2 linked regions of the Alligator mississippiensis genome follow. The protein of the gene in region 2 purifies or fractionates together with the protein of the main gene of each other region. This does not show direct contact. Links are inferred from orthologs where the notes say so. Each region holds a gene or a part of one and is shown on either strand. Other genes may lie near its edges.

The links. Proteins that work in one complex are often made in the same cells at the same time.
Region 1: the proteins of SDHAF1 (region 2) and SDHB purify together in Homo sapiens (co-immunoprecipitation; 3 studies listed by BioGRID and IntAct, with this or other methods). This does not show direct contact. The link is inferred for Alligator mississippiensis from reciprocal best matches to the Homo sapiens genes SDHAF1 and SDHB.

Annotation. Positions count from the first base shown.
Region 1 is NC_081836.1:3,543,804-3,551,366, reverse strand, and holds the start of SDHB (succinate dehydrogenase [ubiquinone] iron-sulfur subunit, mitochondrial), read left to right. Parts: upstream 1-4,549; 5' UTR 4,550-4,579; coding exon 4,580-4,654; intron 4,655-6,499; coding exon 6,500-6,645; intron 6,646-7,563. UniProt on the Homo sapiens protein: Iron-sulfur protein (IP) subunit of the succinate dehydrogenase complex (mitochondrial respiratory chain complex II), responsible for transferring electrons from succinate to ubiquinone (coenzyme Q).
Region 2 is NC_081838.1:888,179-895,077, forward strand, and holds SDHAF1 (succinate dehydrogenase assembly factor 1, mitochondrial), read right to left. Parts: upstream 2,117-6,899; 5' UTR 1,494-2,116; intron 1,078-1,493; 5' UTR 1,060-1,077; coding exon 808-1,059; 3' UTR 519-807; downstream 1-518. Other genes in the region: TBCB (tubulin-folding cofactor B), read right to left, coding at 4,582-4,699, 6,230-6,302, 6,697-6,888.

The sequences.
Region 1 (7,563 bases), on a different chromosome or scaffold from region 2:
CTGCACTGTTGGATCTAGATTCACAGACTATAAGGCCGGCAGGGACATCGGAAGATAATCGGGTCCAGCCACCTGCACCAAGCAGGAAAGGATATACCGAGATCCTTTCCTTCTTCTCTGGCTGCAGGCTTCCTGTGACTCCAGACCCCCAGGAAAGGGGTCCAAATTGTGCAAGTAACCAGAGTTGCTGCTGGCGCAGTTCTGTTCCCAGCTTTGCTGTAGATTTGCCCCATGATTGTGAATAAATCTATCTGTGCCTCAGTTTCCCCATCGTTCATAAAGGGGGAGGAAAGTGCTTTGAGATCCTCAAGTGAGAGGCACTATTTGCCTGTGCAAAGAATTGTCGACATCCAGAGTAGAGACAGGGCTAATCCCAAGGCATGCAGCAAGGATATCAAGTTAGAAGAACAGGGGGTATCAGATTAGATGATGTGTAACTAGGGAAGGCTCCAGCCCCCATAAAGCTGGGGCACGCAGGAAGGCAGCGTCGTCACAGATGATCATGCCACCAATGCCCAGCGCCAAGATTAAATTTAGTCCCAAGGTGCTCAAAGGATAACAAATGGCTTTCAGAGTGCAAGACCCTCAGTCAGGACACTGCCAGGGAGGGTCACCTGATGGTATGGCCTTGTGTGTTGGTAACCTGCCAGCCGCTAGGAGTGAAGATGGTCTGGAGATGCACCACATAGCTGGTCAGCTCCAAACCCGCCTGTCTTTGTTGTGCTGCGGGATAGGGTTACCATCCTGCTCGAGTGCCTGACCACTTTTAACTTGAAGCAGCTGAAGTGTCCTAAAATATGTGAAATGCAAACCCAGCTTGGGGTGATGACTTCTCACCTCGGGGGCTCACCCGATACCCTCCCCCCACAGAGGCCCAGAAGGGGCTTGCATTATTTCCCTTCTCCCCCATCTCGGAAGATAGAACCGTTTGTCACACATATTCTTCCTCCCAAATGAAGGGTCTAATTATGCTTGTCAATTTGTGCAAAATGTTTTCAGCGCCCTTCAGCCAAAGCAAACAGGAGACATACATAGCTGACCTGTGATGCAATGACTGCGCTGATTAGATGAGAACATCCACTTAATGAGCCCAGGTCAAATTCCCACTGTGATTCCTAACAAGTGGCAGTGACTTATGCATACGCGTTTTTTTTCACAAAGCAATGATTACATTTTCCACCGGCAATGAGTGCAGAGGGAGATCAGCTGCTAAGACTTCTCTCAGCCAAAGAGAAAGCCAGAGTCTTTCAAAACTGAGGGCACAAAACCACATCCTGGTTTCTCTCTCTTCCTTTACCCAGTGGTATAAATCAAGTTTAACTTCATGCAATCAATAGAGTCCCAAGAAGATGAGAAATTATGTGTGTGCACTGCCATAGCACCCACAGGCCTTAACTGAGATGGGCGAATCTCTTAGGTGCTCTGTATGCACCTAATAAGGGACCCCAAGGGGCAGACAGATGGGAAGGATTATTATCCTCCTATGATGGGAAATCTGAATCACAGCTTTAGTGACTTGCCCCAGGGAGCAGGTGGAGTCAGCTTCACTGAGCCCTGGTCTACTGGTATCCCCACATGGGCACATGGAAGCACACCTCTCTTCATTCACGTATAATTGCTAACCCAGCTGCCTAGAGACAGCAGTGGATCAGAAAAGACAAGTGAGTGCACAGCAATGGCAACATTTGTGGAAGACTGTTTAAAATTAGAGGTTCCCACCCCATATAGCAGCTAGCCCCAAGGCTCCTTCAATACTGCCCCAAAGTGACCAGATCCTAATAACTTCCCTGTCTGGACAAAGGGCATATTGTACGACCAGCATGATCAATTGTTCTGTGGTCAAAGCAGCAGTACTCATCTCAGGAAGCCTCAGTTCAAATGCTGTTTGAGGTCAGCTCCTAAGTGCCAGTCAATCACGTGGTTTCAGCCAAGTCCTCAGTGGACAACTGTCCAATGCATAAAACAGCTATACGTTTTGGCACAATTGAGCATGACTGGCGAGCTCATGGGAGGCATAGGATCGAAATAGCAGGGAAGGCTGCAGGTCAGAGCTGTAGGGGGTCCCAAGACAGGAATAGCAATGGGCTGCTACAGGTCAGGGTGGAAATGGGTTGCCAGAGGGAGTCGGAAAGGTTCAGAGCGATTCCCCACCCTGCTGCTCCTCCCACATCATAGATGGGCAATGACCTACGGTATGCATGCAGTACGTGACTTACATGAGCATCACTAGAGCGTAAGGAACTTCATCTCAGCTAATCAATCGTTTACAAACCAGATCCCTGGAACGTGCTGGGATCTAGTGGATCCTTTATTCCCATGAATGCAGCAGCGCAGAAGGATTCGTGACCACTTGCTCACTTCAGTGCCAGCAAAACACCCCTCTTTAAAAGAAAGCTGGATGCAAAATTGATTCACACTCAGTGTGAATACGTGCAGCTTGCTGGGGGGGGTGTAAGAAGGCCAGTAGGTGGCAAAGACTCTGGGATTCACTAAAGGATTTGCTCAATTTTCTCAGCAACTACAACACAAATTGGACTTTTTCCCCTGTTGAGGTGTTCACTTGAGAACTTGGTTTTAGGGAACGGCGTGCCCAAGCCTAGTGTGGCTAGTTTGATCTCCAGCCACCTTTGACTTCCCAGACAACTGGGTCCCCATTTGCAGCTGGGGAGCAGCCTTAGGGATAGGATCAAAGCAAGGCTTGAACTCATCCCTCAAGCACCCCTGCAAGGTGCTTTAACTGAGCTCTGCTTTTTAGCCACTTGCTACAAACACCCATCTGGAAACAGTGCAGCAAAATGCTCTGCAAGCGTGCGGCACGGCTTCAACTTGCGCTCTGTGCTGACACCAGCTGTTCACCGCGGTCCGTACTGCCCTGCAGGCCAGCCCATAGCACTCCCAGCTTGTCACGAAAGAATCAGAAACAGCCCCTTTGGGTGAAACTCCAGCCTCTTAAAAACTGGGGAGGGGACCTGCACCTCACCCTTCCTCTTTTGGCCACCTCTATTTCCTGAGTTGCTCATTGTAGTCTTTCATCCCAAATTCTGGCTCACTTCTGTGCAAAACCCATAGATCAAATGAACACCCAATTTACTGCAAGCTAAGCACTGTGCAGTTGCTATTCTGGCCACAGAGGGATCACGGTCGGTCCCCAAATGCTATAAAAATCATGCTTTGAACGGCAAAAGGAAGTCAAGAGACTAAAAAGGATCCAGACTAAAAGGCAAGACGGGCCAATTCTGTTCCCACGGAGATTGTCTCCAACGACAATGAACGTATTGGTTTTAAATGAGGTTTCCCCCTCCTCCGTGCTGATGAGTCCCTAAGTCAGTTACAAACAACTTAGAAATAACGGGTCGAGAGAGAAAAGAGTGAGGTTTGCGCGAGACGGCACTAAGCGAGAGACACGAAACGTTGATGACAGTCACTTCCCCCAACAGTTCCTATTTGCTACTTTAAAGACAATCCTAAATTGATGGATATGCACCGCAGACGGGCGTACATTGAACCTCACGGGGATCTGAATGGGAATATAAACGCGTGTCAAAATGGCAAGTGTCAGACGGACTCTGCCGCTCAAAGACCCGGGAGAGAAAGCAGCGTGAGAGGGAGATTCGGGGGGAAACCTCCCTCGGCTGCTGCTGCTGGGAGCAAGGAGCGCATCCGGGGTTTCACAGGAACGAATGCTTTCGATAACAGGCGATCTTTCCACGCGGGACCGCACGACGGAGCCGGGGGATCGTTTGCTCCCGCGCTGCGGCATGCCGGGGAGGACAGCGGCGGGTAGTTAGCAGCCAGGTAGAAGGCGGGGGAAAACAGCACCTTCGAGACTAACTAAATCACAAACTCAGACGGAGCTAGTCTGTCAGACACGGTGTTGGGGAAAGGCCCGCTGTGCTCCACTTCGCGCGACTCCGCCGCCAGCACGTGTGGACGCGGCGGCCCGGCCTCTGCGTCTCTCCACAGCTCGCGCCGAGTCAGACCCATCGCCAGGGACCCCGGTTGCCTCTGGTTTAGGACAAACACCCCGGTTTTCAGTTACTTTTTTAACTCCAAACCCACATTTTCCATGATTTCCACATATTCCAAATCCACATTTTTCCATGATTAAAATGAAACACTGCTATATCGGTCTATCCATCTATTATACACATATATATATATATATATATATATATATATATATATATATATATACAGCTCGATCGATTTATCTAGTCTCTCCTTGAGGCGCCGGTGCTGAGGGCGGCAAACAGACGCCGGGCCTCCCTCAGGATGGACGGGGAAACTGAGGCAGAGCAAGGACAACACCCCTCCCCATGCTCCTCCTCCCCACCGCGCTCCCAACATGGCCTCTCGCCATGTAAGCCACGCCTACCTGGCCTCCCATTGGCTCCTCCTGTTTGGCCCCTTTCCACAGCGTCGGCCCGTTGGCTCCACCTCTCCCTCGCCTAACCGTCCTGCCTCCGCGCCCTTAGTCCCGCCCACCCTGGCTTCCCATTGGTTCTCACGCAGCCCCCTGACTTCCTGCTTCCGCCGCAGCGGCCTTGTGGGATAGCGGCGGACTTTGCCGGGATCCAAGATGGCGGCGGCCGTGGTCGGAGTCTCCTTGAGGCGCCGCGTTACCGGGCCGGTGCTGAGGGCGGCCGCGCTGCAGGTGGGGGCGGGGGCTGCGCCCGCCTGGCGTGTGACGGGCCGCAGCGTGATTGCATCATCGCTATCCGTCGTAGTAGCCGCTATATTATGATTAATTATATATATTATTATTATTATAGGATATGCTAATCTATATAATGACGCTGTGTTGATTTATAGCAATGTCCTGCGTATAATATAGCGTAAGTGTAACATAATATCGTATAATACGTGTCATATATACTATAAGTACCTATCTCATGATGTTATGTGCCGTGCATTGCTATATACTAGCATTGCATCGTTATGTAATATAATTTATAGAGATACGTTCAGTGCAGTCGTGTGTATATACATAGATAGGAATGTAGTATGTAGTAATATTATATATGATGCATCATATAGTATCATGTACTATTAATGTGCCATCAATATGGTATCATGTGCCATCAGTAATAGACATTAATAGCACATTATACCATAACGTGCTACTAATATGGTATAATGTGCTACTAATATGGCATCGTGTGCTATTAATGTCTATTAATGTGCTACTAATATGGTATAATGTGCTACTAATATGGCATCGTGTGCTATTAATGTCTATTAATGTGCTACTAATATGGTATAATGTGCTACTAATATGGCATCGTGTGCTATTAATGTGCTACTAATATGGCATCGTGTGCTATTAATGTCTATTAATGTGCTACTAATATGGTATAATGTGCTACTAATATGGCATCGTGTGCTATTAATGTGCTACTAATATGGTATAACACACCATTAATGTGATATCATATTAATGTGCTGTGATAATCCCTGGCAGAGGCCGTGCCCCCGCGGTAGGGGAAGGCTGGGCTAGTCTGACGGGGGGGATCCCTTCCTGCCCCCAGTGCAGGTGGGGCCGAGCCCGAGCAGACGGGCAGGACCCTCCGGGTCTCCCTCCCCAGGCTGCAGCCAGCACCTCTGGGGGAGGCTTAAATCCCCCCGACACTGCTACTCACCCACCTTCCTGCTGCCAAAGTGTGGGAAACCCCCCCCCCCCAGCAGAGCACAGGCGCTGTGGTGCCTAAATCGGCCCCGATGAGGATGCATCCAGCTTCTGCTTGCCCCTCTGCAGTGGTGGAGAGCGCGCAGCTTCCCCAGGTGTCCATGCCACGGTTTACCAGCAAAGGAGTTTGTCCCAGTCTCCAGACTAAATGCGTTTTGCTGCAGCGTCAAGCCGTTGCTCCACATCCTCCTCTCTGTGGTGATGAGCGCTGCTTTGGCAGCGCCGTCTCCATGAAGGTTTGATGCATGCGGAGCTGTGGGTGTGAGCCCGCCGAGGAAAGTGCTCCGTTAGTAGAGGGGGGGTCGCTCGTTGTGCATCCGCTGATGCCGTGGGGCAGCGCAGGTGAAGACGGGGATGGGAGCGGGGTTCATAACAAGTGCTGCAAAGGGGGGGATGTGAAGCAAAGTGCACCAGCCAGCGCCCACGGGCCCTCTGATGAATCCAGGCAGCCAGGGGAGGCTGCCCAGAGACATGAGCAGAAGAGGGGTAGGAAGACAGCCTTACAGTTAGTGGGGTCATCCTGGCTAGGGCCTCCATCCTGGTCTGGCACGCCCAGGCGTGTGCATGCCATCTGTGTGCCAGACTGATGCCAGCCGTGCACAGTCACCAGCCCCAGATTCAAGATGACTTTGGAGCTGCGCTGAGTACACACCAACAGGCACATCTGCTGTGCAGCCCCTGAGAGCGTCCGAGTACCCGTCCAGCAGTGTTCGGAGGCGGCTGCATCGCCTCCTTGGGATGTGGATGGGGCCTGCGTCCTGGTGGTGGTGCTGCCGACCAGCTCTGAGAGGCTGTTCTCTGATTTGGGTGCAGGTCTGCCGTGGGGCACAGACAGCAGCTGCCGCAGCTCCCGCTCTCCAGACAGAGCCACGGATCAAGAAATTTGCTATCTACAGATGGGATCCGGACAAGTATGAGGACAAGCCCCACATGCAGACCTATGAGATTGACTTGAATAAGTAAGTATGCACCTTGAAACTTGCGCATGCTTGGCACTTGCACTCGGCCAGAAGGCTGACCTGCGCAGGTTACGTCGCCCCTCAGTTTTGGACCTGTGAAAAAGCATGTAAGAGTGGCTGTGGGCTTAAGTTAGACCTTCTCTAGCTGCTGTTTGGAAAACACTGTGATTAGTGTAGCATGATCGTGCCTCAATAGTGCAATGTGGTTTTGCCAGCATAGATGAAACCAAATCTTGTGTTTAGGCTTAACGACCCTTAGTACAGCCATCAAGTAGAGTTTCCTTAACTGGATGGTTACACCGGCCTTTCACGTGCAGGCAGAATTGTCAGGGATGCAGATTCCAGCTCGGATGTCTCCCAGCACATTTAAAAGTGCAGCTTTATTTCTCAGTGTGTGTAAGCTGGTGTCCCCAAGGTATGTTAATGGCATGCGTGTGCTCAAGAGTAGTGTGACTTGGGGACGTGACACAGTAGTTATGTGTGCGCTTAAATGGAGGTGCTACTTGGCTCGTAGATTGAGAAGGCGATTCTGTGGAAATGGTGGAAACTATGTTGGTCCCTTCTACGACTGCACGCATGCTTATGCTGCTTAATGATGCGATTCGTAACTCTAGATATTGTGTAAATTCTTTGCTACTTTTTGAGCTATGAGCAAGAGCTTTTTTCCCCTCTGCAGTTAGCAAGAAGGGTACAGCCTTCCTCTGAGATATGGAAACCTTTGTACAGTTCCCTATGTCTTTATTTTTTTTCATGACTTGATCGCCACAGTGCTGTTTATGAAGGGAGCCACCTCAAGCTCATTTTGAAACTTCCAGCTAATGCACAATGTAGCTTATTAAGCAGCAGCTGATAGAGAGAGCAAAGTACATTGCGCTGTGTAGTCAACAATATCTTCTAAGTTCTGGGTGGAGTTTCAGG
Region 2 (6,899 bases):
CTTCCCGCCCGGTGTCCAATCTACCTGCCCCGGGCCCCCAGACTCTCACCCTGCTCCCTGGCCCATCTGCCACTTGGCTTTGTGTTCCCTGCCCTGTGCCCGCAGCTCCAGCTGCTGCTCTGCTCTCTCACTCACGCTGCCCCTCCCAGCCCGCTGTGCACCAGGATCGGGGCCCAGGGACCAGGCACCAGCCCCGTTCTCCCCCTGCATGCTGGGATTGGAGCTTGGGGTGGGGGCAACGCTGCCCCCTCCCACAGCAGGATTGGGCCCTGGGACCAGGTGCTGTTCCTGACCGGCTGCATGCAGCACACGGAGACGTGGGGCTGGGAGATACAGTAGCAGGGCGTGGGGGACCCGATTTCTATCCCGTGGGCTGGACGTGGCCCGCAGGCCAGAGGTCGAGCACCCCTGCCCAAAAGGGGGCCAAGGGATAGGGCAATGGGCACAGGTCATGCCTCAGTTTCCCTGCTCCACTGCCCAAGGGACGGTTAAATCAGAGACACGGGTGGAAATCCAGATAATTGAACTTGAACTGTATAAAACGAAGGCAGGGGGGTGCGAGTCGGGAACACGCCTGTCCTGCGAGGATGGACTTGGAGGACACGACCCCCCCGCGTCCCCAGCCCCAAGACCCCAACCCCAGCGTCCGCGTGCTCCCTGCTGGACGGAGCCGCTCTGGCCAGTGCTGCCCACGGGGTCACACCCCAGCGCGCTGGGGAACGGCTCAGAGGAACCTGCCGTGGTTTCACTCGTGACCAGTCCAAGTCCAAGCCCCCGGCATCACCCCGGCTGCATCGGTGCGCGGGGTCACCGCGGCTCCGGCCCGGGAGGCAGGAAGACGCCCAGCTGGGTGGTGCGGGCGTCCCGAAGCTGCTGCAGCTGGCGCTGCCCGCGGCGCAGCAGGTGCTCGATGCGCAGGACGTCGGAGGCGGGCAGCGCGGCGTTCCTCCGGAACTCCTCGCGGACGCGGGGCGCGAAGCCCGGCTTCCCCTGGGCGGCGCGCAGGCACTGCTTGTACAGGCTCAGCACCTCCCGCTGCAGCTGGCTGTGCCGCGCCATGGGGCACGAGGGGCGGCGCTGGCAGGGACGAGAGGGGCGGGCATCAGTGCCACGGGAACCCGTGGCCTTGCACACACACGTGCAGCAAGCACACGGGATCCTTTTTATGCATGTATGAGACTTCATGCCCCCCCGCTTTTGCACATGCGTGTGCAGGCAAGTGTGCAGGCTCCTCTTCAATCGTGTCGCTCACTTCTACGCATGCATGTACAAGCAACCGGGCACCCCCACCCCCGTTTGCACGTGTGTGTGAGCAGCTGCAAGACCCCCCCCATTCACATGCATGCAAACCACCGTGTGCCGTTTTGCACATGTGGGTGCAAACAGCCGCACCCGCTTTTCTGTCTTAACATGCACACGTGCAGCTCTAGTGCCGTGCCCGGCCCGGCCCCCCCGCGTCCCCACCCCACAAACCCCCGCCCCCCCCGTCCTACCTCCGCTTCCGATCCGGCCTGGAACGTTGAGACACCGACTTCCCCAGGCCTCGCTCCCCATTGGCTGCGGCGGATACACTGCGGCCAAGGCCCCGCCCACCCCGGCCATGTGGCTCCGGCCAGGGGTCGGGGCGGTCCGGGGTTTGCCCCGCGCTGCACTGGGGCAGGAAGGGCTTTCCCCCCTGCTCAGACTGGTCCGGACGGGGCGGGTTGCCGTGCCCTGCAGTGGGGGCAGGGCCTGGGGGCTCTTGGGTGCACCCCCAGCCGCAGCTTTCCCGGGCGAGGGTCGGGGCTCTGTCGTGTAGTTTTGGGCCGAGGGTCTGGGGTGGCTTGGAGGGGGTGAAGCGCTGGAACAGGCTTTGCAGGGAGGAAACCTCCATGCTGGGAGGTGCTGAAGCCCGGGGTCGACAGAGCCGTGGCTGGGATCCCCTACCCTGGGGGTCTTCAAGAGGAGGTTAGATGGGCATGTGGCTGGGGTCATCTAGACCCAGCACTCTTTCCTGCCTATGCAGGGGTCGGACTCGATGATCTATTGAGGTCCCTTCCCACCCTAACGTCTATGAATCTATGATGTGGCTGGGGCTGGGCCTGCTGGGAGCGGGGCTGGACGAGATGCGACCCCCCCCCCCCCCCCGGCCCCCTCCAACCTGAAGTCTCATAAAGCCCTGCCGGACCTCCGTCTCCTCGCCGAGGAACGACAGGAGCAGCTCGCCTTGCCCTGGGCGAAAGCGAGCGGCGGGCGGGCGGGCGGGGCGCAGGCCCGGGTCCCCGCCCGCAGCTGCTCCGCGCGGCCTCCGAGCCCTCGTCTTGCCCCTTCCTGGTAGGGGCCCTGGGCCTGGGCCAGGAATGAAGGGGGAGCGATGCTGTCGTCTCGGGGCAGCGGCTGTGCAGAAATGCCCCTCTGCTCCCGCTCGACTCAAGCCGGCCCCCCCCTTTCTTGTTGGTCCTGGCTGGAGACCTGGCCAAAGCCATTCCCGGGGCAGGGGCAGGGGCAGGGGCAGCGCGCTCGTCCCCGGCGGGCACCTCGAAAGCCGCGAGCGCTGTCCCTGCGGGCTGCGCGGGGGTTGATCTAGCCCACGAGTGAAAACGGGCACTAGCCAGGAGCTGGGAGCGAAGAGCAGGGAGAGGCGATGTCCAGGGTCGCGGCATCCGCCAGCGCAGACTCCGCTTGCGAGCGTTTGCCCGAGTGCACTCGGACTGCTTCGTCCTGACCCCCGCCCCGCGCGCACGTGCCCCTCCTCGCCGAGCAGCGAGGGCGTGGGGCTGTGGCTTGCCGAGGAGGGAGAAAAGCCTTTTGCCCCCGGCTCAACCAGCAAAGCTGTCTGTGCTCCCCACTCCCCCCGCCGCGAACCAGGGAGACTTCGGGTGGAAAAAAGGCACCGAGAAACAGTCCCGTGGGCCAAGCAGCCCACGGCTTGCAGGGCCCGTGCCCCCGGCTGCGCCGAGCCGGACCGGAGACCAGTGCCCGAGCGCTGGCAGCGCTGCCCCACGCTCACGGGTGTCGTCCGGAGGCAGGGCAGTGGTAGGCACCCCGTGGGAGACTTCCCGAGTGAGGTTTTGGCCCTGGTGCAGCGAGGCGGGTGGCCCTGTACTGTGCTGCTACGGAGGCGTTAGCCCGTGGGCCAGATCCAGCTGGTGGTCCCACTCCAGTGCCCGGGGTGGGCACAGCAGGGCCCCTCTGGCCGCATGGAGGGAGGTGGGAGACAGCCTGGCCCATGGATGGGCTTGACCCTGCGGGCTGGAGGGGACGGGGCTTGACCTGGCAGTGGGGTGTTGGGCGGTATTAATTGCCCACCAATTAATTAACAGCCGGCACCACCAACTATCCTGACCTGCGGGGAGCGCCCCTGCCCGAGGGGGCGGCGGGGTCCCAGTGGGGTTGTAGTGATGAATTGTGCCCGGTGCCAGGCAGGACACACAGCCCAGCAGGGCCTGAGATGCCAAAGGGGGAAGAGCCCCGAAGTCCCACTGGTCAAGGGCCAAGACGGAGATGAGCAGGGGTTAAAGCTATTGGCCTAAGGACCCGTGTGGGGGTCTGGTCTGGTCTGGTCTGGATGGCAATTCAAAGCGAAGCAGGGTGGCGAAGCTAGAAGTCATCAATTCCCCGTCCGGGTGGTGTCAGGGCCGCATCGCACAGGAGCTGTGATGGAGCTGCTGCTGACCCAGCCAGGGGAGGCCTGTCGCTGCAGCCCAACCCCAGCCGCGCGGCGCTGGAACGACCCAGCCCTGCCGGGGCGCCCCAAAGTAGGGGACCAGATCCCTGCGGGGAAACCACGCAGCGTGGCAGCCTGCCCTGGGAAAGCGATGCCAGGCAAGGCCTAACTCATGGCTGCGGGCTCCCTGCTGCAGTGCCCGCGAGGCTATGCACTGTGGTGGGGATGGTAGCTGCCCCCCGGGGGGGGGGGGGGGGGGTGCAGAGACACCCCCACGATGGATCCAGCCCTGTTTGAGTTCCCAGCCCGTCCCTGGGGCATTTGGGTGTTTTTTGCATCAGCTGGGGCGCTTCTCCCCTTTGGGAAGGGGGGACTCTTGCAAACGCACCGCGGCACAACTGGATCCTCCCCGGGTAGAGCAGCGCCGAGACAGCAGGACGGGGGGGGGGTGAGCCGGCCACCACCCCAAACCCCGAAGGCTACAACCCTCTTGCTGGCCCAGGGACCCTGGCGCTGCTGAGAGCCAAGGAGAGTCCTACACCTATGGCCCAAGCTCCAACCCTCTGCCAAACCCCCGGCCGGCTCAGGGCCATCCCGGCTCTCGGTCTGATCCCCTCCCCAAGCCGAACCTGCGGCATAAAAGCACTTCCCGGGCCGCTGCTCCGTGGGCAGGTCAGATACATCTGGGCAGGTTTATTAGTCTCACGGTGTTAGGCGGGTGGGGAAGGGGGGCAAAATAATAAATATTATTAATAGAGTAGTGGCATCTTTCACTGAACAAACGGATACAAGCAGGAGTGCAGCTGCTTCTCGCGGCTCCGCCTCGCCGCCCAGGTCTGAGCCCAGCAGCTCGGGGCGCCGCGATGGCCCCGTGAAAGGGCGGGTGGGGAGGGGCGGGGGGCAGCCTCGGCCTCTCCCCCCACCCCCTTCCGCCCTCACATCTCGTCCTCCAGGCCATAGTCTTCCTCGGGGAAGTCGCCCACCGTGATGTGCTGCGGCTTCACGAAGGCACCGTACTTGGGTTGGCACTCGAAGTAGCGCTGGCCGTTCACGCTGCGGGGGAGGAAAAAAGGAGAAGACAGAGAGGCATTGGGGTCAGGGGCTTGATGGGAGGCCCATGCGCCGAGCACGGAGACCCAGCGGCAGGGGGTCCACACTGCCCTGAGGAGCCCCGGGACAGAACCAACCCACGATCTGGGCGCACACAGCTCTCCTTGGAGGCAGGAGGCGCCCGCTTCAAGCCACCCGCGCCCCACCAGGCTCCTGCCCTGGCTCTGTGGAGGCCTGATACTGCTGACAGCATTTGAGAGCCATCTGCGAGCGCATGAAGGACTGCCATAGATTCACAGATGTTAGGGTCGGAAGGGACCTCAATAGATCATTGAGTCCGACCCCCTGCATAAGCAGGAAAGAGTGCTGGGTCTAGATGACCCCAGCTAGATACTCATCTAACCTCCTCTTGAAGACCCCCAGGGTAGGGGAGAGCACCACCTCCCTTGGGAGCCCGTTCCAGACCTTGGCCACTCGGACCGTGAAGAAGTTCTTCCTAATGTCCAGTCTAAATCTGCTGTCTGCTAGCTTGTGGCCATTGTTTCTTGTAACCCCCGGGGGCGCCTTGGTGAATAAATACTCACCAATTCCCTTCTGTGCCCCCGGGATGAACTTATAGGCAGCCACAAGGTCGCCTCTCAACCTTCACTTGGAGAGAGAGGAAGAGAGCCTTATCTCTGGGTGCAGACGGGGACGGGGCCAACGGCTTGACGTTGCAGCGAGGTCGGGCGAGACTGGATCTCGGGAGACGCTTTGCCGTCAGGGCAGGGAGGCAGCGGGACAGACCCCGGGGGAGCTGTGGACTCCATTGCTGGAGGGGCTCAAGGAGAGGCTGGGCAGCCCCTGGGCGGGGGGAGCCGGTGCCTGCGCTCTGCTGTGGGGGCTCTGGGCTGTGCGGGCTGCCCCCATTTCTGCTAGTGTCCAGCGGGGAGGGGGTTTGAAGCCTCCCCCAGAGGCGCTGGGTGCAGGGCTGCGCTGATGCTCCTCTGGCACCAACCCTGCAGGGTCCTGGCTGGAGGGTCTTGTCCCCGTGCTCAGACTCAGCCCCACGCTGCACTGGGGGCAGGGAGAGATTTCCCCCCTGCTCATACTGGTACAAACTGGGGGGGTTGCCTTCCTCTGCAGCGGGGGCACGGCCTTGGCCTGGCGTCTCTGAAGCATCTATTTACCCCCCCTTGAGCGCAGCAAGGGATGGGGGTCATGTCAGGGCTGACTACTGCTAGACCCGTTCAGCAGCAAGGGGGGGCGACCAGCACAGCCCCCACCGCAGAGCACAGGCATCAGCCCAGCCCTGCCCAGCCTCTCCTTGAAGCCCTCCAGCGATGGGGAGTGCACAGCTCCCCTGGGCCGTTCTCCCACGGCCTCTCTGCTCCGACAGGGAAGAAACGCTTCCCCGAGATCCAAAGCTGCCTTCTTCTGGCAGATGCATCCAGGCAGGGACCCGGCAGCAGCAGGGCTCTCTCCGCTGGGGCCACGGGAATCCTTCGTGGCCCCGATCCAGAGCCAAGCCTGGGAGGGGAGCAGACGTCTTACCTGCCATCGTGTTTCCCCAAGGGTTCGTCGTACTTGATGCCGATCCAGTAGCCCGGCTTGAACTCTGTGAGGCCTGCGGCGAGGAGGGAGAGGCGGCGAGTCAGAGCACACCCGATCCCCGCTAGCAGACGGGTCTCTTTGCTGTCGGGGGACCTGGGCAGGGGCAGGTGGGCGCAGCCGGCTCGTGGCCTGGGGTACAAACGTCCCCCTGGGGCTGGGGGGTGCCTGGAGGGCAGGGAGGAACCGGGCCAGGAAGTGCGCAGTGTTGCCCGAGGGAGGGGAGCGGGACCCGGAGAGGAACTCTGCCCAGGACACGGCGGCGGGTTGGGGAAAGAGCTGTGGGACGCAGAGCAGGGCTGGGGGCTGTTCATGAACTTCCCAGGGACGGGGGGGAATCCCTCAACAACCTCCCCCCACCCCAGAGACACCGGGGTCTGGGAGCCAGAGCAGGGGTGCGCGACACTCACCCACGTACATCACCGTCCCCCGCTTGAGGGGCTGCCCGGCCATGCGCACCTCGCAGCGGGCGCCCACCGTGATGGCCTCGGCCAGGACCTTCTCCTCGGCCAGCTTCTGCGCCTGCTCCGCTTCCTTCTGGGCCACCTCCTCCTCGTTGAAGCGGCCCTTCTTGCTGCGCTTGAGGAAGGAGCGCACCGAGTCTGTGGAGCGA